Danio rerio: one gene and its partners. Each later gene encodes a partner of the first gene's protein in a complex. Links are inferred from orthologs where the notes say so. Each region holds a gene or a part of one and is shown in the gene's direction. Other genes may lie near its edges.

Region 1 (5,293 bases):
CCATTACAGTTTCCATCAATACAATTCCCATTAAAGCCACTGAAACTATTACAATTTATATCGTTTTGTCATTCAATTCAGCTTTATTTGTATAGCGCTTTTACAATGGATGAATGTGCTTGTCATATTCCCCCTTGTCCAACTCAGAATATTCAGAAAACCAGTTTAAAACTACAACTGGTCATTTTTTATTTAGTAAAGTCTATAAAAAGATCTGTAAGTTGTTCCATTTTGGTCTGTAAATAATTAAGTTACATTAGAAGCACAAATATAGGCTGGTACAGTTGTAACTTTTTGTTTACCTTTCTATATCCTTGAGATATTTTAAGCCAGTGTGTTCAAAATGTGATTCAAACTAGCTACAAGTGTCAGCTTTTAAATGGCCTACATGTTATCTTTGTAGCACAAACAGAAAATGCACAGTTACGTTTCAAGCATCCAATTGTAACAGGATATTCACTGGGGTGACATGTAACATTATAAATCAGAATTATGACAAAAAAGGACTCAGCTCCGAGTATAATCTGTGTTTGTCTCTGTTACAAAGATGAATAAAATGTTTAAATGTGCATCAGTTTAACAATTATATAGGACTGTTTGTGTGTGCAGGCTTCATGAGCACACAGAGCACAGGTGAAATTAAATATATAGACACAGCTAAATTTGCTTGGGGTTGTTGGTAACATTTCACCAAGTTTTTTGTTCCAACTGATCCAGAGTGTTGTAGCCAAGGATTTGCATTACTGCTAAAACATTTGCAACAGCATCATGGGTTTAACATATCTCCACAAACACACAATTTAACATTGATGGGTTTAACTAAGTCAGGAATAAAAATATAGGCTAACTGTCTTAGTTCAAATATAGTTTCCCTCCTATAACATGTCCTGTGTCTGACTCTACTGGTTCGTATGTGGAATGAGGATCAATGTGACCTTACTGTATGTGAAGACTGAAGTGAATCAACTGTTTTTTTTTATTCTGGCTGTATCTGCCAACATTTGTCTCCGAAATTCAGATGGAAGTGTTAAACAATGGACCGGGTTTCAAACGGCGGCGGCGGAGATCGGAAACTATACGTATATAGCCTACGTGTGTGTTTGTGCACATCTCCCTGCGATATAGTCTAATGTAATCCAACTGTAGTATTTTGCAGCATCATGATCATGTATGTACCATAAAACCACATGCAAAACTTTTCCTTACAGCGCCACCTACTGGACACTTACACACACTGAGCAGAAAAACACTTCTCAAGCAGAGGGCCGAAATACTAAAATAACAAAACCAAATATATTTATCAGTTTAACTCATTCTCTCAGAATAAGTATTGTATGTGTGTGAATGTGAGTGTGTGGATGTTTCCCAATACTGGGTTGCAGCTGCCTTTATGGTCTTCATTAAAGATGTGGAGAAAGAATTATAGCCAATATAAAGTTGATTTCAGAATCTAATAAGAAAGCTTTAAAAACTGTGAAAATATGCTTTGCTTTTAAGGTCTTCGTGTAAGTAGCCTTAACTCTGATTTGCAAAACAAATTTTTTATGCTAATAAATAATAATGTGAACAATTAATTTAATACTTATAAATATTTAATGTCTTTCCATTTCTCTCTTCTCTTTATTCATTCATTCATTTTCTTGTTGGCTTAGTCCCTTTATTAATCCGGGGTCGCCACAGCGGAATGAACCGCCAACTTATCCAGCATGTTTTTACGCAGCGGATGCCCTACCAGCCGCAACCCATCTCTGGGAAACATCCACACACACACACACACACACAAACACACACACACACACTATGGACACTTAAGCCTACCCAATTCACCTGTACCGCATGTCTTTGGACTGTGGGGGAAACCGGAGCACCCGGAGGAAACCCAGGCGAACGCAGGGGGAACATGCCTTCTCTTTATCTCTTATGTTATTTTTTTCTATTGTTTCATACTGTTCTTTTTGGAGGGTATCTAAACCTGGATCTGTGTTTGTGCGCCCTCGTGTGATGAATAATGAAAAAACCAAGGTGAGTTGTAAACTACAATTCCCAGCACTTCCTTTGCCTGTCGGAAGTACGTACGTTTTACAGCTCATGCGGAAGTGGCACGTTCGTAATGGTAAGATGAAATTAAATGGGTATAAAATTGTTGTTTTGTCCTGTGTATTTATATATTTTGTATATTACAGAACACATTTTAAGACGCCTCGTCGTTCCTAGAGAGTTAACTTACTGTTCAATTTTCTAGTTAATGTGATGCGTCTGGTTCATGAGAGTTTCAGTTTTTAGACATGTTATATAACTTACTTTTTATTTAAAATTATATTTATTCATTACTTGTTCGTTCATAGTTTAAAGACCGCTGCTGAAAGCTAGGCCAATATATACTTTGCTGTGATCCAGAGATCCAGACAGAAAGTCTTTATAAGCTCTATGTATGTACATATGAAGAGTTCAGATGCAAAAACCTCTAACGTTAAGTGCCATCCTAAATTTCCATGGAAAATTTAAAATTTTTACCTACCTCCTTTGTTTATGTTGAGATATTTCACTTTAAAGAACAGGAAAAGGACTTATTCTTTGTCCTAAAGTGATATTACTGAACATACACACTGGAATCTGATAAAAATGCTTATTTTAGAGGAAAAACTCAGATGGCATTTAGAGATATTTGCATCTAAAATCTTCATACATGTTCTTAATTTATGTTAAACTTGAGGTAAAATTATTATTATTATTATTTTTGTTTTGATTGTAAAATACAATTGAAATAACCCCAAATAAGACTTAAGAAATTGTATATTATTTTATTGTATAATTTGTATAAATATTTTATTGAATTACTTATTTTTGCAATTTATATAAAATGTGATGTGTTAATATATGAGCTAAGCCCAAAAACTATTTATCTTAAGGCAACCGGAGCAGATCAAGCTGTTGGCTTTGGACTCGTTGGCTTTAGTCTTTTGCTGTTCACATATTACTCCATTTGGGTGGTAGTCTTGGTAAGTGATCAGTTAAATTCATTTTTACCGGTAGATAAATCATGCACAATGTGTTACTTATTTCCTGTGCTACTAAAACATATGCTGCTAAAAAAAGTGATGGAAACTCTTCTGCTCTTATTCCAGCCTTTCGTAGACAGTGACCATGTGATACACAGCTATTTTCTTCCACGAGAATATTCAGTCATACTTCCTGGCATCGCAGCATTAATCCTCTTGCTCTTTGTTGGTAAGCAGATCAAGTAATAAAACCATAAAAAAATTAACATGACATGTTCATGCTGTAAATTTTGATTAAAATATGGTCATTTTAAGCATTTATGCCTCAGTGAGGAAAGCGAAAAACAAAATCCTTCTTTAATAAAAATAATAATTTATAGTAATAATACATTTTATTTGTATAGCACTTTTCCAGCATAACATACAACTCAAAAGTGCTTCACAAACATGAACAAATAGTAAAAGCAACATCAACGTGGGGAGCTAAAATATAGAAACAGATAAGCAAAATTTAAATTGCAAATGTTGAGAATAAAAATTATTTATCAGAAAATTATTATTACAATCAATAGTTTTGAAATATTTAAACCGGATGATTAAACTTTTACTTTAACATAATAATTGTGTTAATTAAATTTATGTGAACATAATTCTGTCAAAATAGTTTTTCTTGCATTTTCTTGAACGCTGCAAATAGATTTACTAAATGATTTTAAACATTGTTCACTTTTAGCATGTTTGCACAGCTAACCTTAAAATTAAAAGCTTTTCATGTTTTCCTCTGTATTTAATAATCAAATGTTCTACTTCTCTTTAAGGCACATTCATAGGGATCGTAACATGGAAGAATCGAAAACCTAAGAAAGTTGATTAAGACTCTCCAGGTTGTTGTGATTCGTACTGCAGCAAGAATGATCAGCGTTGGTTTTACTCATCCATGTGAAGAGGATGAACTTCTGGAATCCAGTCATTTGTCATGTTCAGGTGCTGTAGTTGTTAAAATGAACATCAAAATAGAGTTAACTAATTCACCAAAGCCGTACTGAACATGTACACAATAATAGTCTACCTGAGCTTTGTACATCTAGTAGCTACAACATTGACTCAAGACCATGCTAGTAGTGCAATGATTTAGGGAATTAGCGTGAATAATACATAAGATGATAAAATAGGCACATAAGACATGTGTGTAGTTTAGAGCACATCTAAATGAAATATGGGAGTAATGTTTCATTGTTCTTGTACTATGCTTTAAGTCTGTGTGTTTCAGCTGTTCTCTTGTTTTGTAAATAGACATATTTATGAGGTAGAGTGCTTCCTTTTAGCCTCAAATATCAGAAGAAGAGTCTGAAAATAATGGGAAAGGGATTTTTTGCTGTTTCAAACAATTCCTCATTAAATGAACAGAAATATACCTATGTCATGTGTTTTATATGATTTATTTGACATAACACTTCTGCTACTGTAGCTCATCTGTTTTTAGGGTTTGAGGTGATTTTAATATCTCAGCTGTAATGATAGTGGTTGTTACTCTTGTGCTGTGTTACTGCTTACCTTTCTATTGAACCAGTCTGGCTATTCTTTGGCCTCTTGCATTAACAAGTCATTTTTACCCACAGAACGGATGCTCATTAAATATTTTATTATATTATTTTGCTATAAAAGCCCAGTAGGGCGAGGCAGTGGCGCAGTAGGATGTGCTGTCGCCTCAAAGCAAGAAGGTCGCTGGTTCGAACCTCGGCTCAGTTGGCGTTTCTGTGTGGAGTTTGCATGTTCTCCCTGCCTTCGCGTGGGTGCTCCGGTTTCCCCCACAGTCCAAAGACATGCAGTACATGTGAATTGGGTAGGCTAAATTGTCCGTAGTGTATGTGTGTGAATGTGTGTGTGGATGTTTCCCAGAGATGGGTTGCGACTGGAATGGCATCTGCTGCGTAAAAACTTGCTGGATAAGTTGGCGGTTCATTCCGCTGTGGTGACCCCAGATTAATAAAGGGACTAAGCTGACAAAAAAATGAATGAATGAATGAAAAGCCCAGTAGATCGGCAGTTTCTGCAAACAACCTTTTTGACAACAACAACAATCAATGCCAAATGCAAATTCTGTTAAAGAGACATTTCACCCCAAATGAAAAAATACTAGCTTTTATTCTCAGCTTTAAAAATATTATTTTTTTTTCTGTTGAACATAAAAGATCACATTTTAAAGACTGCTGCTATCATAACCATTTTCCATAGTAGGAACCATTCTGTAGAAATCAATAACACCCAATTACCAGTGTTCTGTGAAATATCGT
Region 2 (3,244 bases), on another chromosome or scaffold:
GCACAAGTGTTGGTTTAAAAAATAAGGACAAACACAATTTGAGCTTGTACACTTTCAACTTTTTTTTATTTATTATTGTGGTCAAACGCATTAAAGCAGCCATTAACACAGCTGTTATAGGGTATGCGGACAGAAAGCGCAATAAAACAAGTCATTCATGCTTCTCTCCGCTGTGTCAAAACATCAAAATACAATAAAAAATCTAGTTTTCACATTCTTTTCATTTTCTTGCTCTTCCACCTGCACAAAAGCTGTAGAACATTGGTTAGTTCATTCAGAAGTACTTGCAATAGTGATGTAGAAAGTGTCTGTAAGGAAAGGTCGTAGTGAAATTCACTTACAGCACATGTGGTCACGCAAGCGATGCATCCAAATACTTGTAAATGTCAGTTTGATATGGCAATGTCAACCGACCACTCAGAATAAATAAAAACAGGGCTTAGATTATTCCATGGCACATATACTCTCACATTTTGTGGTACTATATTACTTGGTTGATATAACTTTTTTTTGTTTTAGTCGAGGGGCAAACTTTGTAACACAAGTTCTGCTCAGACCAGGAGCGTCTGATCTTACTGGGAGTTTTAGGTGAGGCATGTTTATAAAGAAATCAGTCTTATTACTTCTCATAAACTGTATTGTCATTATAAATAACGTGTTCTTTGTTTTAGGCTCTATAAGAAAGAGGTTCTGGAAAAACTAGTGGAGCAGTGTGTGTCAAAAGGCTATGTGTTCCAGATGGAGATGATTGTCCGGGCCAGACAACTGGGCTATACAATTGGAGAGGTCAGCACATCTCTTTCCACATTTCCTATGAATGCAGTTATTGCCAGTTATTTAAAAAATGGTTTAGATATATTTGTGTAATACTTGGACTATAGTGGCATTTTGCTCTGGGTAGTTACTGAAACTAACTGCTAGGCCCTGTTCATCGAAAACGTATTTCCCCACTGCCAGCAGGAAATCTAAGGTGATGTAAGCCATGCTGACAGTGACATCAAAATAACAAAGATGTTTCATGATAATGCAGATTATGTCAAGGCTTTTATATCAAAGTTGATATTTGGTCGCATCATATTGGTGTTTGGAAACATCTAGTTTTTAGGATATGAATTGTTAGCTCAATGCTCAACCCCCAATCTGAAGGATCAGGACATACACGCATACACTACAGACAAATTACCTTACCCAATTCACCTACAGCACGTGTTTGGACTGTGGGGGAAACCCACACGAACATGAGGAGAACATGCAAACTCCACTCAGAAATGCCAACTGACTTAGCCGAGACTGAAACTAGCGACCTTGCTGTGAAGTGGCAGCACTAACCACTGTACCACCGTGTTGCCCATATTATGTGAATGTGTATTCAAATTCTCTGCCAGGGTTTACATCACTGTAGCTGCTATTTTGATGGATTACACCCTGATCTAATCCAGGAGCTAATTTAGTCCAATAAAACAGTGTTGTTTAACTTAAATCATTCCCAGTTCCTACAGTGCGAACACTCCAGAAACCATGTTATGGTTCTAGGAACTGTGAAAAAGTGTAAAAGCCTCTTATTTTGTAAGCTGGAAATTATGAGTCACTGTACTATATTTAATACAAACACTTTTGTTTTTCATTCTGTTTCATAGTAGCAGAATGGTTTATTTGATCGATTTCTTAACGTAGCTTTTTTTTTTTTTTTTTGTCTGTTATTCAGGTTCCCATTTCATTTGTGGACCGTGTTTATGGAGAGTCCAAATTAGGTGGAAATGAAATCGTCTCCTTCCTGAAAGGACTGCTCACTCTTTTTGCCACTACATGACCTTTGACCTATTTGGTTGCATTTAGTGTTGTGATGTATGATCAGCGCTTATTATCACTGCAGTGGAGCGAGAAGCTAGAATAATTACTTGATTACCAAGTAATGAGGTCATTATGCTTGGATTTACCACGTTCCTTCTACTTAGTTTTGTTAATTACTAGGCAATGTTTAGAAATGTACATTCAAATGTTCTGAATTGTAATAAAAGGACCAAACTGAGAGCTAGTTTTTGAAGTACTAACACTTATTTCATATGAACTATGTTTTTAGGCTATAAAAAGCATCATTGTGGTTCTATTAAGAAATGAACTCATCCCTACAAACTGGATTCATTCAATGACTGAAATGTTCTTCTCAAAATGCTTCTCAAACTGAATTTCTGTGAAAACCCTTTAAATATTCATTTGAGCATTCACATGTATTGTTTTGTACCTTTACGAATGGCAATAGAGATGTCTTAAAATAAAAAAAATATTGTTCCAAAATCATTTTGGTTATAAAAAGGTATTTTAACCAATTGATATAAAATAATTTATGACAATACTTTGGATTTAAAATGAATCAAATTGATGAGGCTGAATTATAAAATAGGTCACTCATCAGTCAATGAAACAGGAAAACAGTATGCCACATCCCATGATCCACTGCCATCAATTTCCGATCTGTCTCCTCCCTCACAGTCAGGATTGCCCATTCACTTTGGGTTTAGAGTGCCCAAATGACACCCCAAACTAGTAGAACACACATAGGGTGAGTGTGCTACATCCACCACCAGGAGGGGAATAACTCCAGGGCTCAGGGGTGGGGGAATCACCATGGCTTCAGAGTCTGCAACCCCAGCTCTTGACATGCAGAAGTAGTCCCGGTGAGTTGCGCAGGAGCGCGGTACAGCGCCACCACCCGAACTCATGCTGCTCCAACGCTGGAGGTACTGAGGCACTGTATACATCCGACTCTCTGCGGGGGTAGATACCAGATGCAGAATTGACGCATACGCTTCTATCCAATCAACTCACAGCCGATAGCGCCCCCTATGGCCTCATAGCATGTAACTGCACCCAGGGGCTGTTTACACCAATTTCAGGAGCATTTAATAAAACGCTATATGCGTGCACACACACACTTGTGCACTTCAGGTAAGCTTATATAGGGTGAATATTAGACTGGTCGTCGTCGGAGTCCTCTTACCGCACAATCCCACACCCAACGCATCTCGGTCGGCACAATGCTTTTTTATGCTAATCAAACACACATGTCACTTCCGCCCTTTTTCACACGCCATTTTGGATAGCATAGGTGCTGGACCGGGTCGTATTGTTTAAGTGGATGGCAGATTGCGTTAATTGCAGTCAATTACATCGTCATCGCGCGTCTTGTAGACTGTGCATCATCGCAAACGCAGCGCGCGCTCGGCTTTTCGCGCTCTTAATCCCA
Region 3 (5,168 bases), on another chromosome or scaffold:
TACAAGCCATAAGTATCGAAATGTTTGTATTGGCAGACATAAACACTGAGAAAACAGCTACATTCGAGTGTTGTTATCGCCCTGGGCTTTTGTTACTCAAGCTAGCTACGATTAGCATACGTGACTGGGCTGTCTCCTCTAGTTTCAAAGACTAAATACTAGTGGGGTTAGAAAATATGACTTCTGTATCTGAATTAATAATGGTTTAGTATCGTACAGTCCTTAAAGTATGTTCACCCAACAACACACACTGATCAACAGAGCTTTGACCGAACAAAACAAGCTGATTTCGAGCCAGAATCACACCGCAGTTTTCAACAAACGAGCTGCTGAATTCCCTCAAACATCGCACACGACAACGACTCTGTCATAAACACAAAAACAATAAGCCGGTTGATGTGAAGATAACTGTTTTTGCCCACCAGCTTGTAAAATGATTCCCCTCCCCGGTAGATTCGGGTGAATGTTGTTGCCAGGTCAGATCAGCTGATCGGCTTGTTTTCACTGGAGCGGGAGTCAAAGGTTACCGACCGCAGGGGCTGATGGGAAATGCAGTCAGATCTCATACATTTCCTAAAGAATCGATAATGCAATGGGGAGAGGTCATCTGAAAAATATTTCAAAAACAAAATGGTGGTAGAATACAATTTATGGGAATGTACTAGGCAGTTTTTTTATTGTAGGCTACATTTATTTGGTCGATTATTACCTTCACATTGCTGGTGACAAAGACACTAAAATATAAATAAAATAAAATACTTAACATTTTAATTGTTACTCAAGTTAATATAGTCTTACTGCATAATCTAATAACATCAAAACAGTTAGCGTATTTCACATGGCACTCCGGGGGTATCCTGCTGTTCCCAGGCCAGCCGAGAGCCGTCCTGGGTCTTCCCCGAGGCCTCCTCCTGGTGGGACATGCCTGGAACACCTCCCAAGGTAGACGTCCAGGAGGCAGACTTCTCAGCTGACTTCTCTCGATGTGGACAAGCAGCGGCTCTACTCTGAGCTCCTCCCGGGTGTCAGAGCTCCTCACCCTATCCATAAGAGTGCACCCTGCCACCCTTCAAAGGAAACTAATTTTGGCCTCTTGTATATGAGATCTTTTCCTTTCCGTCATGACCCAAATCTCATGACCACTGGTGAGAGTAGGAACGTAGATTGACCGGTAAATCGAGAGCTTTACCTTTCGGCTCAGCTCCTTCTTTACCACAACGGACCGGTACATCGACTGCATTACTGATGACGTTGCATCAATCCACCTGTCAATATCACTTTCCATCCTTCCCTCACTCGTGAACAAAACCCCAAGAAACTTAAACTCCTCTACCTGGGGTAAGAACTTTCCTCCAACCTGGAGGTGCAAATATTACTAATCAAAAATTTTATTATTTACTTGTATTTATTTAAAAAAATATATTTTTGTGAAACATAGCTCAGTAAATAACTTAATGAAAAAGATCATTTAGGCTTTTACAATGTACTTTACAGTGTACTTGTTTTCACTGGAGCGAGAGCTAAATATTTTTGTGCAACTGGTTTTGTGGTCCAGAATGGGAGTTTTCAACCCCAGTCCAGTAGATGGCGAAAACGCACCTGTATGTTATTTTGCCAACGTCACATTATCATAAGAAGAAGATGGTTTTACTGTTGGTGGAAAAATAATAATCTAAGCAAAACTATTTATTCTGAAGTCTTTATTAATGTAATTTTCCGACCGCGAAATAACCAGCAGTGATCGAGATGGCCGACGAAGAGTTCACAGACATAAATGGCAACTGGATTTCTTTAGACTGCCAAACGCACTCTTCTTTCTGCAGAGAGTTTACTGTTACCTCACCCAAACTGTCCTTGCGCAAGGTGATGGTGTACACCTGCTGTGTGTGGTTATTTGCTTATGCTGTGTTCTTCTTCACCCAGGTAAGAACATTTTATCATGCGGACTATGAAGGCCTTGGCGTCTTTTGCTGTTTATTAGACAAAAAATGACTGTTTATTGGACTTTGATTTGACATTGCGCGAAAACGTCTATTATACAGTTGAAAACAAATTTATTAGCCCTCCTTTGAAATTGAACTTTTTTTTACTAAGTTATTTTCCCAAGTTTTCTTTAACGTTTAGAGAAGATTTTATTTAAAAAAAGAATTTAATGATAACATAATTATTTTGTTTTTTGCCATAATGAAATTAAATAATATTTTACAATTTATTTTGCAAAATACTAGTAATATTAATCTAAAAATGCAATTTAAAGGCTTAACTGGGTTATTTAGGGTTAACTAGGTCAAATCATTGGACAACAGTGGTTTGATCTGTAGCCAATATTTAATATTTCTTAAGGGAAAAAAAATACATATTTAAAATGTACGTCCATATAGTGAGGAAACAGAAGTAGTTTACGTTGTCATTTATAGTGCATTTATTACAGCTGCTGAGTGCAGGTTAAAACATTTGATTGTGCATGAGGCTGTATTTGGAGATCAAAATAAGAAAACAATATATAGTTTCTCTGAAAAAAAAAAGCTTCTAAAAAGTGTAAATGAAAAGTATATTTGGAAATACTGTAAATATTTTCCTTGCTCTGTTAAAATATCCATCGGCAATTATTCTAAGAAAAAGGATTTTACAGTAAGGCTGATCATGTGGTCTTCAACTGTATTCAGTGATTTTATCACATGAGCCAAACCATAAAAAATGCTTTCTTTACCCATCACAATATGCAATTTTAAAGAAGATAAAACCAAAATACAGAATATGTTGGTTCAATAAAGTCGTATCCCTCTAAATCCAATACACTCAGTAACCATTTCATTTGGCAGGATTATAGTCGAACAGGAACCCAAATTAATCATGTTTGTGTTTTTAAGGCCTGTGATTGTGTAAGCATGTAAAGCATTCATGCATAATGAAATAATGAAAACTATTTTACATTTGATTACTCAATTTGAGTACCCGAATACTGCTAGAAGGTTGTTGTTTTCATTCATCGCTTTGCTCTACTGTTTTTATCAATACTTTTGATTGATTTATTAAATTTGATGCAGATACACTCCACAAAATCATCATAATCAATGTAAAATTATGTAAATTCTTTCCAAATAGAGCTATTCATTTCATCTGGTGAATTTATTTACAGAATCTCAATGTGTATTGACAAAAAACTAAATACTGCAATATCAGCTTTTTCCCAATATCATACAGCCCTAGTATATATCTCAAAATTCCACTTAGTACTAAGCAAGAAGAACTTATTCAGGAATTTCCAACATGGCTGCGATTGAAAGTTTGATATTATAATAGAATATATGAAATATTTTCGTGAATGTCAAGCAAATGTTCAATATAAATCTAACCTAATTGCTCTTATTGATCTAATATAATTCTCCTTCTGTTTAATATTCAGAACACGGCGGTTCTGTCAAGTGCCATCATCCTCACTTTAGTTGGGATGGTGATTCATATTCACTTTGTGAAGGTGGACCATGAGACCCTTCTCATAATAGGCTCTCTGGGTGTCCAATTGTCCTCGTCTTACGCCTCTGGACGAGAAAGCACGACTTTCATTGAGATGAGCAAGCTGAAAGACATCGTCATAAATGAGGCTGTTTATATGGTAAACACACAGTGACCTTCACGCATGATAGATATCGAGATGTAAAAATAATCAGTGTTTGTGTTTTTGCTCCTCAGCACAACATCATATACTATCTGTGCATTCTCATCAAGGACCCAGCAGATCCTGAGACGGTGACCAGTGTTGTTCCTCTCTTCCAGGTTCAAAACAGCTGTTGTTATTCATTCGCAAAAGCAAGATTATAGGAATTTGTGACATCTCAGTATGTAAATGAACACCTTTGGTTCTTCCTCCAGAGTTCAAAGCCTCGGCTCAATTGTTTGATTCAAGTGTACAAGAGCTGTCAAGAAATTCTAGCACAGAGCAGATGACGCAGAGGTAATGCTTCATGTTTTGCTAGATATTCTGCATGTTTTACATGACTGACATAGTTCTGTGTCTATATATGCTTTATGACTCCATGTTTTTCGATCAGCAGAGGCTTTCTTTGAAGATGAATGAAGATTGGAAAACTCCAGAACGAATCATAAGCACATTGTTGGTAGCTTTTTTGTATTGTCAGTAATACACAATGCATTTTGTTACATGCAGAAGTTTTTAGATAGGCTTCGCATTCAAAAACGTTTGTACATAACAGTATTCTTGCCTCATTTAAAACATTATTTAATGATTAGCCATTTAGTTTTTTAGGATGTGTTCACACTTGTTTTGCATAATTTTGTTAAAAAAAACTGACAACGGAATATTTTCAATATATATTTTAATATGAAGACTTGAATAGATCTATTCAGAAATAATTCATTATTTTAGATTGATTAGGGTGATTATTGTTATTATTATTATTATTATTTTCCATTTTAGGGGAGCACATTTGGATCAAATATAACAAATCACAAGAAAAAATAAGTACAACAGAAAATACAATGGTCTATGGTTCACTGGTGAGACTAACAATACAGAAATAAATATGACACTGAAACAATTACTGTATGGTATAAATATTTAAATACAAGTAATCTTTGTTAAAGCTACAGACATAATTGCTTAAATGCTTTTAACAGGGTGTCCCCGAGGTCTTACAAAGTAATAAAGTGTCTTAAATTTCAAAAAACAAAATTTTAGGCCTTAAGTTTGAAATTCACTGCAATATTGTGCTGCGAGTCTTAAATCATTTTACACAGGTCTTATTTTACTATTTCCATTTAAAGCTACCCTATCGGGCTGACACCCAATCACCAATAATCAGTCTTAATTTTTTGGTTCATATTTAGTTTTTTTTATTGTTATTATTTTTATTATTTAAAAAGATACATGTCACATAAGCTGTTAGACATTTTTACAGCTAATTAAATTCCCTAATCAGGGAAAGAAAACTAAAGCAACGCATCCTTTTACATGATCTTCCATTAATACAAAAACTATTTACAGAAGTAACCGGGCCATTCAAAATTCTTAGTGTTTAGAGCTGTATCAGTCTAAAATTTCACTCATATGCTTTTGAAAGGGTCTTAAAAAGTCTTAAGTTTGACTTGAAGAAACCCTGTTTAAAACCCTTTTTTAGAAATGCCTTAAAAACACCTGGAAATAATAA
Region 4 (5,434 bases), on another chromosome or scaffold:
TACTCGTTACTTAGAAAAGTATATTTATTACGTAACTTGTATTGTAATGTGTTACCCCCAATCACTGGGCCTACATAATAGCAACTTTTCATTTTCTGTCAATCTTAATGCATAATGTAACTAGAGAAGTGTCAAGCTTTAAATAAGAATAAGAACTCACTTGTCTTTGAACAAGATGCTAATGGTCTAATCCGACTCAATGATCGATGCTGAACTAAGATAAAGGTGCTTTTGTAAGACATGGAGATCAGCTGAATAAATGCAAAAATGGTAAAACTCAATTGTTTTAACTGTTTAGGGAAATAGTAAAATGAGCCGATTTTCAAAAAAGTCAACATGTGCCAGCTCCAAATCATTCTATTTCCCTTTTGACCTTCATGTTCTGGTCTCGTTCTTTAAGTTGTGGGTGTTGTTCTGCTCCATCACCCCCTCTATCTCAGTGCAGCCTGTTCTGTTGTGTCTGCCAACTGCTCTCTGCTGGATCACAGGTTTCCTGAGCTGGAGAGCAGGGACTGGCAGTCTCAAACACTGTGAACGGCCAACTTGCTTTTTTCCCACTGCGCTTCGTGTATGTTCTGTTCACTGAACGCACACTCCTACGCAAACACCCCGGCAGAAGAAAATCACACTGATTATGAAGAGAATTACAGCAATCACAGATAGATAGATAGATAGATAGATAGATAGATAGATAGATAGATAGATAGATAGATAGATAGATAGATAGTCCCACACACATGCCACACTTGCTACACTTCTCTTTTACAGCCGTTCTCTGTACTGAAAGAGGCAGTCGCTGACAAGTGTAAACACCACTAAGAATAACCTCACAGTGATCTCAGCGCTGTCTGAGTGATGTTTATACCCTCTCGGCGGGTGAGGAGGTGTGATGGGTCACGGACGTGCTCAATGGGCGGATGTTCGCCCGCGGCATCCAAAACACAGCACTGTCCACCACTGCCAGCAGGACAGAGACAGAGAAAACAGCTTCAGACTGATGGAGCGCGGGCGTTTCATTTCCTGCCAGCATCACAGATAAAAAAACCTAAATCTCTCAATTGAGGAAAAGGTTCAGTGGATCTTATATATTTTAACTCAATTTAAAAAGCGGAATCAGATCAATTAATTAAATGTACTGTAGGTTAATTTCAGATTCGAATATACAAAATTATTACTGCATTTGTATGTAGGCCTACATTTACAAAAAAAAATCATTGCTGTTCAATCCTACTTTATTTTTTCTCATACACTCTAAAAACGTTGAGTTATTTATTTTAACCCACTGGTCGAGTTAAACATTTATGGTTCATTGCTGGGTTACTTTTAACCTTTATTAAGTTATTTATTTAATAGCTCAACCAGTTATGTTAAATATTTGGTGCTCTGGCTTTGTTGGGTTATTGATTTAATAACTCAACAGTTGGGTGAAAAAAATTGAATTTCAACAGTCAACTGATTTAACTGACACAGTTATGCCTATGTAATGCTGTTTTTGCGCTATAAACTTAAGCTTTAACACAATAATATTGCAGATACAGTATATACTAATATTAGACTAAAGCCTACATTTAAGATAATGGAGTAAAAAGAAACGAAATGCCCATTTCCCCTTCTCTTTCAGCAGGGTTTAGGAGATCAGTATTTCATAAAGGTTTGTTTAAGTTTTAAACAAACAGACAAACTTCCAGTTATACTAAAAAAATGCTGTTTTGGTCCTTAGATATTTAATTATCTCTCGTTTCTATAAACATTTGAAAGCACAGACCGTTTTAAAAACAACCGTGAAGACGTGCACTACATTTCCCATAATACTATTCGCCATTTACGTCATCAACCTGCGTCAATAATCCGAAAACAGTGAGCTGGCATTGAATAGTAGGTAAGAGAGAGAGTTTATTAGTAACGTTACATTATAAGTCCAGTTTCATTTATTAACATAAATTTTTAGTCGCTAATTATTGACGCCAAGTTAACAGATTTCCTCCGTTTAGCGCTGACTGTCAGATTTCATTGTAACCACCTGTAATCATTAGCAATCGTGCTAGCTTTAATACGAGTGAGGATTAAAGCGAATTTAAAAGCAGTATATGCATTTATTCTAATTTTTAGTCACATATGATGTTTCTTGATCTTCTGATTTCGTCTGTATCAAACACTGGTCAAAAAAACGAAGCTTTGAGGCTTTTAATCTAATGTTCTGCATTGTTTATTAGAAATATTCTTATTTTTTAAGTGCACTATACTCATGTTTTAACTAAATATTTATATGGAACGCACAAAAGCCATACAGTGTCATTTAAATACAATTAAGTGAAATATAACAGCCTAACCTTATTGAGGTAAAGTTTTTATATATTCGCTCAATCAGACTTCATGCTTAATAATATTACTTCAAAATAGTATTCTTTGCCAATTCAAATGGTGTAATCATATTAGCAGCCAATAACCATCAAAGCAAAACAATTTTCACAGTCAATTAAATAGAGCTGATGTTGTTTTGAAGTCATACTTGCATAAGATTTCTGACCAAACAGGTTGCGAATTACATGGGGAGTTTGGGAAGTATTAACCCTCTAATTAAGGCTGGATCCCTCTTGAAGGACGTCCAAACAAGATGTATTGATGGGTCAGCGTTTTAAAACTGAAAGTTCACTCTGATCTGTATTTTAAGTAATAATGTTAATAATTAAAATAGTAGACATCCATATGACCACCCCTATAAAGGTTCATACCATTGTGAATGCATAATTGTGCCCGTCAGTCTACGCGAGAAAAAAAGTCATTCAACAGTATGAAACTGGCAGATTCAGAGCACCGATAGACACCGTAAGAATTAGCAAGGCTGTTTTCTTATAAAATAGGGGTTTGTTTCTACATGTAGCCTAAAAGCAAACTCAAATTAGATGCATAGTTTGTAAAGTTTGACCTAAGATAAGTTGAAATGGCTAGCCTGTCAGAATACACTAAACAGCCTTTCCAATAAAACACTGAAAACTGAAATACACTTATTTATAATTCAATATAATATATACATTTTTGAATAAATTAGGTGTAATTTAAATAAATACGTGAATTTGATTCACTGAAGCATGTATTACACAAACATTACTGATAAAGTCAATGTATAATTCGCACACTAAGACTAAATATTTAAAGTAGCGTGGTAAACAATATAATTACCATTTCACTGTTAAAAAAATAAATAAATAAATTAACAAGTGTGCGAATACTAAACCAACTTCACCTCATTTCTAACATTATATTCTCCTATTTATCCTCAAAGGTGGATTATCTGTGTCTTCAATCATCTCGCAATCCCCCAAACCATGACCAAGCTTCTGCAGTGGCTTCTTGCGGTGTCTCTGATTGGCATTGCATGGGGACTCGTTACCTTCGACCTCCTGGATTTGCATTTGCTGCCCCAGTATAAAGAGCTTGCATGGCCGATGCCCGTGTACCTGCTGGTGGTGTTTGGGTGTTATTCTCTGGCCACTGTCGGCTACCGTGTGGCTACATTTAATGACTGTGAGGATGCGGCCAAAGAGCTGCAAGCGCAAATAAAAGAAGCCAAAGAGGACTTGAGGAAGAAAGGACTGAAGATGTGAAACTAGTTTGTGATTATCAATATTCTTTATTTCTCTGTGCACAACATTTCCTCCACGGTGACTGCAGTCTGGTTCTATGGATGTTTGCACTGTCATATGGACTAAAATGAAAACAGGTCAGCTTAGTTCATGTTTATTTCAACATGGTGTAAACTCCTGCACACCTGTGAATCTATTTTCAGCTCCAGGACAGCTTTATTTAAAACATTACTGAAACATTGTGGACATATTGTCAGTGCAGAGAAGTGCTATTTTTGTACAGTCCCAAGTCCAGAGTGTGTGTATTTGCATTGGCCGAGGAATGAATATGGCTCTTTCTGTTTTTAGTGAAGTCAGAATTCGGTTTCAGATTTACACATGAACTGTGCTTGTGAAAGAAATGTGTCGGTCAATTAAAAAAAAAAAAAAAAAAAAAAAGATTTACAAATGTAAAACATTTGTGTTGAATTCCATTACGGTACTTATTAAATAACATTTTAAGGGTCAGAATGTTTAATTTGAACATTATGTGGTATTTGATTGCCTGAATAGATAAAAACTACTTTATAAGGTAATTTTCCATTGCGTTTTCTCCAGGACATTCCACATAATAAAACTGATGCTTGATGCAAAATGTGTAAATCACATGTCAATCAAAACACAGACCGATTCATTTTCAACTGCAATGTAAATGTAACTTTTTGAAGCTGTTAATAAAACAAAGATGTATGCTTTAAAAAAAAAAAGCTTCAGTCTTACTGGTTCAACGCTTCACACCAGGAATAACTACAAAGAGATAAAAAAAAAAAAGTATCCTCAGCTAAAATAATTGCATTATTACCAGACCCACTTTGGGAATTTTTTTTTTTTAAGTTTATGAACAAAATCACTGATAGCCAGTGGTGGATAAGAGTACAGAAAAGTCATACCTAAGTACCATTACTTGCCTAAAAATGTAGTGCAGGTAGAATAAAAGAATCTGATGTAAATATTACTCAAAGTATGAGTAAAAAGTAGAGCTTTCAAAAGTACTCAGAAGTATTACACTAAAAAGCTGATGCATTTATATGTAATTAGTGAGTGTGTGTAAACGTAACATTCTGTAGTGCATTAAGTTATAGCCAAGGCCAGACAGAAACTGCGGACATTTTTTGCTATTTCTGTGCAGAATATTGTAAAAAATCTGCGGATTTATGTGGAATGATTTTGGGTGGATCGTAACTAAAATTTAAGTAATAAAATTTAAATAAGTAAAAAAAATTAAAATAAATATATATTTTAAACTTTATTGTAAGTAATATTACTGAACTAATTTAAAAATTGAATAAATATAAATTCACACACATTTAAAAAACAATACAAATAGAATCGATGGCCTGGAAATCTGTGGATTTCTGCACGCGCAGATTCCGTGTAGGCCTAGTTATTGCCCAGCAGGTACACAACATCATAAGACGTTAATATTAGGTGTGATTTAGGTAGTGATGTCAGGTGAACAAAATTCACTGACTAGCCAGCATCTAAGGACAATGTTATTTTGATGTCCAATAACGATTTGATATTTGGTTGATTTTAGGTTGTGTTAGAAAGTGACCAAAACCCAACGTCATATTGACCTCAAATGCTGACATTTATTCGTCAGGTATGGCAACCATAATTCAACGTCTTAATAGACATCATATTTGTAACGTCCACACAACATCAAGCTGTAACATCATTAGACGTTGATTTTTGGTTGATGTTATGTTGATTTTAGGTTGGACGTTAGACACTGACGTCAGCCTGAAGTTGAGTTCTGATGTCAACCAGATTTTCATTTCAAAACAAAATGCATCTTCTCTATGACAGTA
Region 5 (5,506 bases), on another chromosome or scaffold:
CCGGAGGAAACCCACGCCCAGCCAAAACTCAAACCAGTGACCTTGTTGCTGTGAAACGACAGTGCTAACCACTGATCCACTGTGTCATTATTATCATTATTTATTATTATTATTATTATTATTATTATTATTATTATTATTATTATTGTTGTTGTTGTTGTTATTATCATAGTCATACAACGTCATTGGGAACCAAACCCATGTTTGATACCACTATTCTTCAAAATATCTTCTTATGTGTCCCTCAAAAGTAAGAAAATATAATGCTGAATTTACATTTATGGTTTGACTCTCCGTTAGAAAAGCTATTTGAACGGTTAAATATTAATTTGTATCGGGCTTGATTCGACGTCTAACTTGTCGCAGTTAATTTAACTTAATTTGGATTGTGTAAAAACTTTGAAGTTTAGGCATTAGGACACAAAGAGACACCTTAATGGCTATGAGTTCAAAGCTTTTGTAAGTCTGTGATTTTTTTTATTTATTATTATCCCTTCCTGATATTATAATTTAAGACCAGTCTGTCCAACCTCCGAATCGTCAATATTTGCTATATTTTATCACTTTAAAACTCAGGGTTATATTAATGTGACTATAGCGCCATCTTCTGGTAGCCACACAATTTTTTTTACATCCTTAATTCAGGTTGATCCAAGTATGTCCAAGAATACCGGAGGGAGATGTTTTATTTTTATTTATTTATTGTTTATTAATATTTTATTCTTGCAAGAATAAGAAGACGTTTATTTCATTTGGCAAATATGGTTAACCTACAAATCACGGTTACACCTGCCTATAAAGTTATTTTTGTTGTTTTATTTTGTGTCCCAAAAATAAACATTATGATTAAATTTATTATTTTAAATAGGCAAATTAACATTTGTAAAATAATAAAGCCACAGCCTTCTCTACAGCCTTTGTTCTTCTTTTTTTTTCTTCCATCAGTTCCCTCCTAAATGTAAGTGTTATCATGTGAGAGAAGCTGTTATCAAGAAAGAAAAGCTGGTTTTGTGGGGCCCCTTTGTCTTGAATGTTAAGATAGCTAACGTTTCATTTAGGAAAAGTCTCATTTAGACACATTCACAGATCAGAGGTTCATGTAAGTACACTCTTCTACGCTTAGGTTTTATGGCTCATGTCATGCAGTCCTAACTCTGCTAAGTGCTTTAATGATCAAAAATATTATTATTTGAAAATAATCTCTGAAAAAGCATGAAAAAACAGTGCTTTTTGCCTTAAAGAATATTTCACGTTTTTTGTTAAGAAAACATACTAAATATATCCTGCTTTAAAGTGTACTTTTCATTGCATATTTGTTTCTGTAGATTTCATTATCCAATATCTGCAACATTTTATTGAATAATGTTTTGGGAAAAATTTTTAATCTTCCTTTTGCAAATTAGTACACGTTTAATTCATCATATATATACACAAACATCAAATATATACACAAATTCATGCATAAATAAAACAATAAATATATAAATATGGAAATCAATCAATAAATAAATGAATAAATACACAAATTCCTGCGTAATTTAACAAAACATGCATCTTTTGTTTTTTTTTAACAAAAAAAAATGCTCAAATAAATAAATAAATAAATGTGAATATAAATCTACAAATTCCTGCAAAAATAAAACAATTATTAAATACTCAAATAAATGTATATATAAATCTACAATTTTCTGCAAAAATAAATATATAAATAATTAATAGTGTGGTGTAAAAGAGGGGAAATCTACTTTCAGTTTAGCATTTTCTTATTTTCCCAACATCCATGTAACTTATTTAGTTATTAATCTGCCCGCACTATATTTCTTTATGCAGGAATTTGTGGGTTTTTAATATATATTTATTTGCATATTTATTTATTGTTTTATTTATGCGGAAATTTGTGGATTTATTAATTAATTCTTTTATTTATTTGTTTATTTATTTTGTATATTTATTTATTTATTTATTGTTTTTGTCGTCCATATGTATAGTAGCATATTTGGTTATTTCTTTATCTGCTACTATTGCTCATCTGATCTTTTTTTTAAATATAATGATAAATGAATGGAATCATTCATTGGGAAAATTGTTTTTGGCGGAAAAATTGCCATTCAAAACTTACTTGAACTATTTGAGTCGGAACAAAAAAATATCCATTAAGTTCACCCGGCGGAATTTTAACGACGGACTGTAAACAATATGAACGTTACGGTCCGTCTAATCCATTGAAAAACTGGTTTCCAGTTAGTTTAACAAAAGCACGTGCTGGATTATTCAATAGCATATCTATTACAATTGCCCTATGATTTCGCGTTATTTTTTGAGATAATGCCAGCGTTGATTAACGCACTTAGTAACGTTAATTTAATCGTCGCCTCCTACAGAACAACTTCTCAGAATTTCTCGACCTTCAAAATCAACAAGGTAACTTTATAAACACTTAACTAGCAATTACAGCATATAATAGCACGTCCTTGCATTTGTCAATGGTAGTGCCGTGAATAAAATCGATGAGAGTTTTGCCCGAAGCGTGTGGTTGCCATAGAAATGACCGATTTGAAGGGCACAGCTATATAGCTGTCCTCGTTAGATGTGTGTGCTGCTAACATACAACACGTTTGTTTGTTTGCTTGTTTTTAACTACTCAGAATGCTGTATTATACGTGCTATAATGTCTAACACATATGGTGCTTTTTGTGTTCTTGTTTCTAGCGTTAAAATAATGCTTTTGTGCCCACACAGGACTGTATATTTCGCTGTTGGTGGACTTTATAGCACACAGACATGGTGCTGAAGATCTTCTTCCCTCAATGCTGCAACACTGCTGACAGTGGCCTGCTGGTCGGGCGCTGGATCCCAGGACACAATTCTGCTGTGGTACTAGCTGTCGTTCACTATCCATTCATACCCGGACAGGTAAAAAAGTACTTGAGTGAGATCCAGAGCCAGACTCAAGTGGATCTTGCCGTGCTGGGTTCCTGGAGTATGCCAAAAGAAGGTCAAGAAGGATTGGACAGCTTCCTCAAAGACCTGAGCACCATCTTTCCTCAGAAATGTTGGCTGCAGTTGAGCCGTGAGATTGGCAAAAGAGGCTTTACATGTCGGGTGGTTCAAAACAATGGGATGCTTCTACAGGACAAAGAGCAGAAGAGTGATGTAGATGGCAGTGAAGAAGATAAGATCATCCTCGTTCATTATGACCAAAGGAAGGTGATGCTGTCGCAGCTTCATCCGGTGCAAGAGGCTGACCAAAAGTCTGAAATCGAGCCGTCAGAGCTGCGCTTGGTCTTCCAAACAGTTGCTCAAAGTCAGCCTCTGTTTTTCCTGGATAAATACGACGACGGGCCGCTGAAACTCACCCACTGGCAGTCTGAAGGGAGGGAGGCTAGTATTATTGCAGAGCTTCTTAAACAAGCATCTGTGCCGGTGTGCATCTGCCTCACGTGGTTGCTTTCTCTTTGGCTTTGGTTTTGCAGCTTTAGGTGAGTTCAAGTGGACCATCTTCTGTCTGTTTTCAGTATTGAAAATGTGTTAATCACATCCTTTCTTGTTTGACAGGATTTTAAATATACCTCCTGTGAAGTTCATTACAAGCAAGCTGTCCACGTGTGTTCAGTCGGGTTACAGGGCCGTTCATTTTAAGACCGTTTTCTCCCCTAAAAAAGCTGATACACACATGGATTTCATGAGGTAGGGGTAGATCCGCAGATTTTAGCCAATCATTGAGTGTATTTATTTACTTGTTTAAATGTGTGTGCATTTATATTTATTCAGTTTTTAAATTCATTTCAGTAGTATGATTGACTAATATTAAAAGGTTCAGATGATTTGTTTACAATAGTTTGTAAGTAATATGTTCTGTCTTTTAGTAGAGATATTATATGAGAGACTTGCTTTGTTTACCAAATCAGTGGATCTAATTGGATTTGCATTGTAAACATTAAATAAAAGTTAAAAAGGTATTCTTTTTCATGTCATATATTAAGTTTTTAGTCACGATACTCCCAAAATCATTTCGCAAAAATTCCCCCCCCTTTTTTTTTTTTTTTTACAAAATTCTGTGCAGAAATTGCAAAAAATGTCTGCAGATTTTGTCTGGCCCTAGGAAGGGGTCAATCACATAAAACGAGTGTTTTCATTTGATAACAAAAGAGAAAAAAACATTAGCATTGACTTTTGCCTTGTGCTTTGTTTATTTGATTTTGAAAAACGTGTAAGTCTGTTAGGGGTGCACAATATATCGTTTTAGCATCAATATCACAATGTGTGTAAGCGCAATAGTCACATCACATAGATATGCAGTGTTGATTTGGGATTATAGTTGAGCCAGTGTCACAGTTCAAAACATGAGATTTGTTGAATCACTGCAGAAATTAAATATAATGGAGTGACATTTATAATTTGCATGTTTTTAAGGCCTAAGAGACATTAAGTATTCAGACACAGGACGTTTTACCAATCGGAAGATTAATTATATTGAATTATTTATACAGTAAAGACTTTGCAGTGTCATTTTTACATTTACAAAACCATAAAGCATGTTTATTTCACTTTTATTTTTACATTATTCACTCTTCTACTAAATCATCCCAATTAATCAAAATTTATACATTCGGTAACATTTTAGGGACCAATTCTCATTATTAACCAGTAGCTTATTAGCATGCATGTTATTGAGATATCGGCTGTTTATTAGTACTTATAAACTACATTTTCTGCATAATCTTATACTTCATCCCTAGTCCTACCAATACCTAATCTACCTTAATAACTATTAATAAGGAGCAAATTAGGAGTTTGAGACAAAAGCCATATAATTAAACCATAAAATAATAATAATAAATTATTTTCAAATAAGTGCTATTCAGTCTTAGGAGAAATTGTATAAATTTCACACTATATATTGCAATATATATTACACTATATATATATTGCAGAAGAACAAAATTTTGCAATGTCAGATTTTTCCAATATCATGCAGATTCTTAATCCCTATTTTAAAAATCAGTTTAATGAAATAAAACACTCTCTGAAGTTAAAAGTATTTTAAAAGTAAATTTCATAACATGTATAAGTAATGATTATTGTTCTCATTAAAACAATTTTAAGTACTCATCAATACTCAAGGTAATTAATCTTGCATTAATAAAAAGGTCAAGTGTCCTGATATTTTAAGAGACTTATTTATTATGACAATTGTTGCATTGTAAATGCTATTCTAAAATAAAAATCTACATTCATTCTTGTAATGAAACATTTTGATCTTAATGTTTAGATTTGTTTTTACTTGTTCTTCAAAATATTATTTAGAATGAAATGCAATATTAGAAATCATTATAAAAATAGCATGTTAATTACTTAAATGTTTAACTTTTTAATTAGATTTTTCAATCAAATATAATCTCTTAACTCTTTCTTTTTTTCACTCCTCTGCAGAAAAGCAAACATCTTTGTGTCTTTCCTTGTGGACATAGCCTTTGGTTTGCTGCTCATCTCATGGCTGTATAGG
Region 6 (5,521 bases), on another chromosome or scaffold:
TTTGTGACTTCAGTCCTTGTTGGGATACTCTTTTAAAATCTTAAAGCATTAACAACTTAAAAATATATTGTTATCGTTCAATATGGAAAATGATTTTCGAGATGACATTTTTGCCATATCGCTCAGCTCTACAAAGGTATGTGTAAGATTTTTTATTTGCATTTTTTTTTTGTTTGTTTTGTTTTTAGGACAACAGTATCTCCATCTCTCATACATAGATGCTGTTTTTAATTGTGAAGAAGTCTGTTGTTGAAACTAATGAAGACAGCAAAAGTCAATGATTGACTTGAATTATTCAGCCCGTCATGTTTACTGCTCCAAAATATTGTAAATGTTTCTCAAATGAAAATATATTGTGTTCAAATGGGAAAAAAGTTCTTGTTTTTTACCCAGACATTTAAAAAGAACAGATTTTAGAGCATTGAGCAGAATACCATGAAACAGTAAAACTGTGCTATTTATATCCAAGGTTATTACACCGTCAGAATCTTATACCGGCCCATGCCTACAAGTAAGTTGATTTATTTAAGTATGGTAAAAAAAAATGATTTCTCTCTCTCTCTGGTCTATTTCTGTGTTTCTACAACAACACTTTTCCTCTGAGAGTGTCTGTCCTCTAGGATCTGCTGCTCTTTCTGCTCTGCTCTGTGCTTTTCTGTTTGTCTATTGGTCAGACTGTTTTGTGCTTCCAATGTAATAGTGGCTTCATCATAGTTGCTCAAGTTAGTTCATAGCCTTTAACTTGATCTGACTCTCATTCATTCATTCATTCATTCATTCATTCATTCATTTTCTTTTCAGCTCAGTCCCTTTATGAATTTGGGGTCACCACAGCAGAATGAACCACCAACTTATTCAGGATATGTTCTATGCAGCAGATGCCCTTCCAGCTGCAACCCATCACTGGGAAACATCCATACATACTCATTCACACACATATGGACAATTTAGCTTAGCTAATTCACCTGTACTGCTGTAACCCATGCAAACACGGGGAGAACATGCAAGAAATGCCAATTGGACCATATGGCTTGAACCAGCTACCTTCTTACTGTGAGGTGAACGTGCTACCCACTACGCCACTGTGCAGCCCTTGATCTGACTCTGCACAATTATAAAATATAGAAACAATTATTATTACTATTATTATTATTATTGACTTAATATAAAGGATGATATATATATATATTACATTATTTTAGTTACTGATCTTTTCTCGTTGAATTTCTGATCTCATATCACCACCTTCTGGCCAATATCTAGAACTACATGTTGATTGTGAATAGGTTTGATGCTTTTTTTTTTTACATCTGAATGAATGAATCTTAGCTTGGTGTTTCTATACGTTCGTTGATGGACTTTTATTACAACTGTATGAAATAAATCCTTCATTTTAAAGCCAATAAGCTGTTTTACTCAGTATTAAAGTGCTAAACTAAAAATAATTCAATAATAAATAAATAAATGTCTCTGTCAATTTTTTCAAACTACTGTATTTAATTTACCAAAGTCACACAAGTGGCAATTGTACATCTGTCACATCCATTATGGAGACATGTCACATCCAAAACGACACTTTTTCCTCATGAATGAAAAAAAATAATTGTAGAATAAAATAAAATCAATCACATTTGAGGAGTCCGCTACAAATGAAAGAAGCCCTGTGTTATACAATATTGTTTGAGTCAAATTATTTTAAATACTCTAATACTGAAGTATTAGTGTAATATTAGTAACTAAAATGAATGAAAATAAATTGTTTGTGTGCAGACGGACTCCAAATATGATTATCCACTAATGAGGGTCAAACAAATGTAACAATAACTCAAATTACTAAACACTGTTTTTTTATTTAAATTTTAGTCATATGCTGTTACAAATTAATCAAGAGAGGATTACCCATAGACTATATAAATATTAAATGTATATGCATCTCACTTTTCACTCGTCGGCGGTTGTGAGGAACAGTCGTCAGGTGGCGCTCTTCAGTCAATACCACGGTTGCGCTTTTGTTTTTGTTTTTTGGTACGTCACTTCCGGATGTATGATGGCTTGACAGCTGCGGCTAAATACAGGAAACCCTGCTCATTCGGTAAGATTTTAGATTTATCTTGAACATTATTCTGTATAAGTTTGATATGAAATAATATATTTTGTCTGTATTTATACACTGTCGCCAGCTGGCTTACTGTATGACTGTATGATTGATTCATTCTGTATGAATCAGATTGACGTGAGAAGCTGTCAGTCAGATACCGCTTGACATTTAGGATAATAATAGATTGATTAAATGCACGTTTTACTTACACAAAGATAAACAATGCTGCTTAAAGTTTTGTGGTGTTTAATGTTTTTCTTTATATATAAACTATGAAGCAAATACATGATATGTGGAGAACAGGGTGTAGTTCACGCAAAAATCTAACTGGCCCCTCTAATTGGTTTTAAACCTTTATGAGTTTCTTTCTTCTGTCGAACATAAAGAAGATACTTTGATGAATGATGGATGCTGGGACCCATCTACTTACAAAGGCAAAGCAATTGCTATTGAAGTCAAAGGGTGCCAGGTATCAGCTAGACATGGCGTCACCTTATAAGGTTCTATTTGACATTTTTGTCAAAACTGAGTTATTGACATATTCTTACTAAATGACAACTTATTTACATTATGCGATGTTTTTTTATAAGTTGTTTACATTTTAAGATTTTTTATTTAAAAAACAAATGTTACACACATACTGTTTGCTATGCAATGCAAAAACTTTGAAGCTCAATATTTTAAAATCATTCAGAATGCAGATAAAACCTTATTATTCTAAGGTGACGATAGGCTGGTTTAAGATTGTGATGTATGATAACCTTGGATGAAAATATCACGGTATTGCTATTACTGCTCTAAAATAAATTCTTTTTAATCGTCTGGATAAACAACAAACTTTTTTCTACCTTTGAACACAATATATTTTATTTTGACAAACTTTTAAAAATATTTTGTAACAATAAACATGTCAGGCTAAATAATTTAAATCAATCTTTGACTTCCTCCCTCTTGATTAGCTTCAAAAACACTGATTTATTTATAATTTAAAAATGGCATTTTAGGATATCTTCTGCTGGAGATACTTATGTCCTAAAAACATAAAAACAAACAAACCTACATAAACCATTGGAACGGTATAGCAAAAAAAAAAAATTTAAAACCTTGATTTTTCCAAACCGTGGTATACCTTGAATACGGTTATCAACCCATACGTATTACCAGCATTCTTCAAAACATCTACTTTTGTGCTCAGCAGAAGAAAGAAACCCAAACAGGGTTTAAACAAGTGAAGGGGGAGTAAATGTTGACAATAAAAAAAAAATTAAGTGTACTTAAAGACCAATGAAAATTTCTCAGTTTCTCTGGATGTACTGAATTTACAAATTGTTTAAAATATTAATATAAAATATTGTTTTCTTATAACATTTATTCCAAATTTAAAATCTGAGTATTGTCATTTTAGAGCCCACCCCACCATTGTTGTGAACATTTTCCATTGTTGTGATTAACAACCTAGGTTATTAATATTGGTTTCTTATATTTGGTAATATTTTGGTAATATTCGGTAATATTGGTTTCTTAACTGGCCTAAAATTGAAATTGAAGAAAAAAAGAAAAGAAATTGAAAACACGGAGCAATCGCTCGCTTTTTTTAATGCTTAATAGTAATAATTCTGTTTAATCCCGCCCCTTTTCGCATCGCCATACGACAGAATTTTGCACACACAAACTCTAGTGTGACTGCAGCTTGAGCCCAAGGAAAATGAATGAATGCTCGTAATGCATTATGATTTATGCAAACTCACTGCATAGAAAATAATTTTCTGTGTACCTGAGTACCATTTGGAGTCCCATATGAGATTATTTTCACCATTGTATTGTAAAATGTTACTCTACCATGATGCCTGTTTGACAACAATGCAGAAAGTTATACAAGATCATCGCAGGATATCAGCAGTATTATTGGCTGGATTGCCTGTCAATCAAACTACCTGCAAAGGGTTAATTGCATCATCAAAGCAATAAAATAATAAATAAAAGAAAAACACTTGATCAATCAGTCGATCTAAATTAATGAAATCTTTCCAAATAGAAGTATTCGATTCATCTGGTGAAACTATATTCGTGTCACAAAACAGTGGGGGAAATAAGTATTCCACACATCACCTTTTCTTTTCAGAAAACATATTACTAAAGGCGCTGTTGACTTAAAATATTTCCCAGATGTTTAAAACAATCAAAAAAATCTAAGTATGCAAAGACAACAAATCTAATTATTTTACAAATAAAGTTATGTGTAATAAAAAAAATGAAGCAGGGAAAAAATATTAAACACATGAAGATAGAGAGGTGCAGAATGACAATAAAAGCCCAGACAGCAGCTGAAATCTCTCAGTAGTTCTTCAGCAACCCCCTTTTCTTCGCCATTGTAAATTAATATCAGCTGCTTCAGTCCAACATCTACATTAGCAGGATGATAAAAAGGAAACCATAGCGGAAATTTCAGCAAAACAATGATTCAAAACACAGCTAAGAAAAGAGAAAGAAAATCAAGCTGTAGAATGGCCCAGCCAATCACCTGACTTGAACCCAATAAAAAATACAAATTAAAGATCAGATTTGAAAGATGGGACTCACATAACCATTAAGATTTTTACACAGTGTTGAAGTCTCTGAAGAACTCACACCTTAGCAATTCATGTGACTTCATTCTCCATATGAGAGGCGTCTTTAAGCTGCCATCATCAAAAAAAGCTTTTTATATGAAGTATTTCAGTAGTTCAACACTTCTCCTTGTGTCATTCCATTGTTATTACACATCACTTATTTTTCAGATGTGTTTTATTTTATTCTATTTTAATATTTGTATTGTTTGAGTTTTTACCAAAATCAGGATCAATCTCATGTCAACAGCTCCTTTAGAAACATTATTCCTAGATAAAAACATGTCATGTTCAATAGAGAATTCCTAATGTGGCAGCAAAACTAAAAATGAGCAATGTCACATTTTTTCCCAATATCATGCATAGCTAATGTTCAGCCACTGTGTTCTCTGATTTGGACAGGCGATGGGAGCAGACAGCGGTCCAGGGGCTCCTTCGGCCGTCCCGTGGAGGAAAGTGCTCTATGAACGGCAGCCTTTCCCAGACAACTATGTGGACCGGCGTTTCCTGGAGGAGCTGCGGCGGAACATCCGCGTCCGCCAGTACCGCTACTGGGCTGTGGTTCGCGAGACAGGCCTTATCGCCCAGCAGGTGTCCTGCGTGGCCCTCTTTCTCACACTGTGGTCCTACATGGAGCAGGGTGAGCTGGAGCCGTCTGCCGTGTTATGCGTCTGCCTAGGCTGCGCTCTGTTTGGATACGGGCTCTATGAGGTCCTGGGAGGAGCCAGTGATGGCAAACGGACGCGTCTTGCGGACCTGCAGAGCGCTGCTGTCTTCCTAGCATTTACTTTTGGGTTTTCACCAGTTTTAAAGACTC

The links.
Region 2: dpm2 (region 1) and dpm1 share a complex: the UniProt entries of both Homo sapiens proteins name them as parts of the dolichol-phosphate mannose (DPM) synthase complex. The link is inferred for Danio rerio from reciprocal best matches to the Homo sapiens genes DPM2 and DPM1.
Region 3: dpm2 (region 1) and pigh share a complex: the UniProt entries of both Homo sapiens proteins name them as parts of the glycosylphosphatidylinositol-N-acetylglucosaminyltransferase (GPI-GnT) complex. The link is inferred for Danio rerio from reciprocal best matches to the Homo sapiens genes DPM2 and PIGH.
Region 4: dpm2 (region 1) and dpm3 share a complex: the UniProt entries of both Homo sapiens proteins name them as parts of the dolichol-phosphate mannose (DPM) synthase complex. The link is inferred for Danio rerio from reciprocal best matches to the Homo sapiens genes DPM2 and DPM3.
Region 5: dpm2 (region 1) and pigq share a complex: the UniProt entries of both Homo sapiens proteins name them as parts of the glycosylphosphatidylinositol-N-acetylglucosaminyltransferase (GPI-GnT) complex. The link is inferred for Danio rerio from reciprocal best matches to the Homo sapiens genes DPM2 and PIGQ.
Region 6: dpm2 (region 1) and pigc share a complex: the UniProt entries of both Homo sapiens proteins name them as parts of the glycosylphosphatidylinositol-N-acetylglucosaminyltransferase (GPI-GnT) complex. The link is inferred for Danio rerio from reciprocal best matches to the Homo sapiens genes DPM2 and PIGC.

Annotation. Positions count from the first base shown.
Region 1 is NC_133180.1:32,330,791-32,336,083, reverse strand, and holds dpm2 (dolichol phosphate-mannose biosynthesis regulatory protein), read left to right. Parts: upstream 1-2,055; 5' UTR 2,056-2,110; coding exon 2,111-2,113; intron 2,114-2,909; coding exon 2,910-2,999; intron 3,000-3,125; coding exon 3,126-3,228; intron 3,229-3,817; coding exon 3,818-3,873; 3' UTR 3,874-4,417; downstream 4,418-5,293. UniProt on the Homo sapiens protein: Regulates the biosynthesis of dolichol phosphate-mannose. Regulatory subunit of the dolichol-phosphate mannose (DPM) synthase complex; essential for the ER localization and stable expression of DPM1.
Region 2 is NC_133198.1:23,420,194-23,423,437, forward strand, and holds the end of dpm1 (dolichol-phosphate mannosyltransferase subunit 1), read left to right. Parts: intron 1-519; coding exon 520-588; intron 589-671; coding exon 672-786; intron 787-1,705; coding exon 1,706-1,810; 3' UTR 1,811-2,032; downstream 2,033-3,244. Other genes in the region: adnpb (activity-dependent neuroprotector homeobox b), read left to right, coding at 2,916-2,946. UniProt on the Homo sapiens protein: Transfers mannose from GDP-mannose to dolichol monophosphate to form dolichol phosphate mannose (Dol-P-Man) which is the mannosyl donor in pathways leading to N-glycosylation, glycosyl phosphatidylinositol membrane anchoring, and O-mannosylation of proteins; catalytic subunit of the dolichol-phosphate mannose (DPM) synthase complex.
Region 3 is NC_133195.1:31,130,784-31,135,951, reverse strand, and holds pigh (phosphatidylinositol N-acetylglucosaminyltransferase subunit H), read left to right. Parts: upstream 1-1,628; 5' UTR 1,629-1,746; coding exon 1,747-1,923; intron 1,924-3,406; coding exon 3,407-3,616; intron 3,617-3,693; coding exon 3,694-3,777; intron 3,778-3,873; coding exon 3,874-3,948; 3' UTR 3,949-3,955; intron 3,956-4,052; 3' UTR 4,053-4,467; downstream 4,468-5,168. UniProt on the Homo sapiens protein: Part of the glycosylphosphatidylinositol-N-acetylglucosaminyltransferase (GPI-GnT) complex that catalyzes the transfer of N-acetylglucosamine from UDP-N-acetylglucosamine to phosphatidylinositol and participates in the first step of GPI biosynthesis.
Region 4 is NC_133194.1:9,591,181-9,596,614, reverse strand, and holds dpm3 (dolichol-phosphate mannosyltransferase subunit 3), read left to right. Parts: upstream 1-1,821; 5' UTR 1,822-1,879; intron 1,880-3,283; 5' UTR 3,284-3,326; coding exon 3,327-3,605; 3' UTR 3,606-4,330; downstream 4,331-5,434. UniProt on the Homo sapiens protein: Stabilizer subunit of the dolichol-phosphate mannose (DPM) synthase complex; tethers catalytic subunit DPM1 to the endoplasmic reticulum.
Region 5 is NC_133178.1:25,542,660-25,548,165, reverse strand, and holds the start of pigq (phosphatidylinositol N-acetylglucosaminyltransferase subunit Q), read left to right. Parts: upstream 1-2,168; 5' UTR 2,169-2,421; intron 2,422-2,550; exon of another isoform or gene 2,551-2,589; intron 2,590-2,739; 5' UTR 2,740-2,781; coding exon 2,782-3,479; intron 3,480-3,555; coding exon 3,556-3,687; intron 3,688-5,433; coding exon 5,434-5,506. UniProt on the Homo sapiens protein: Part of the glycosylphosphatidylinositol-N-acetylglucosaminyltransferase (GPI-GnT) complex that catalyzes the transfer of N-acetylglucosamine from UDP-N-acetylglucosamine to phosphatidylinositol and participates in the first step of GPI biosynthesis.
Region 6 is NC_133195.1:16,064,399-16,069,919, forward strand, and holds the start of pigc (phosphatidylinositol N-acetylglucosaminyltransferase subunit C), read left to right. Parts: upstream 1-2,074; 5' UTR 2,075-2,092; intron 2,093-5,106; 5' UTR 5,107-5,109; coding exon 5,110-5,521. UniProt on the Homo sapiens protein: Part of the glycosylphosphatidylinositol-N-acetylglucosaminyltransferase (GPI-GnT) complex that catalyzes the transfer of N-acetylglucosamine from UDP-N-acetylglucosamine to phosphatidylinositol and participates in the first step of GPI biosynthesis.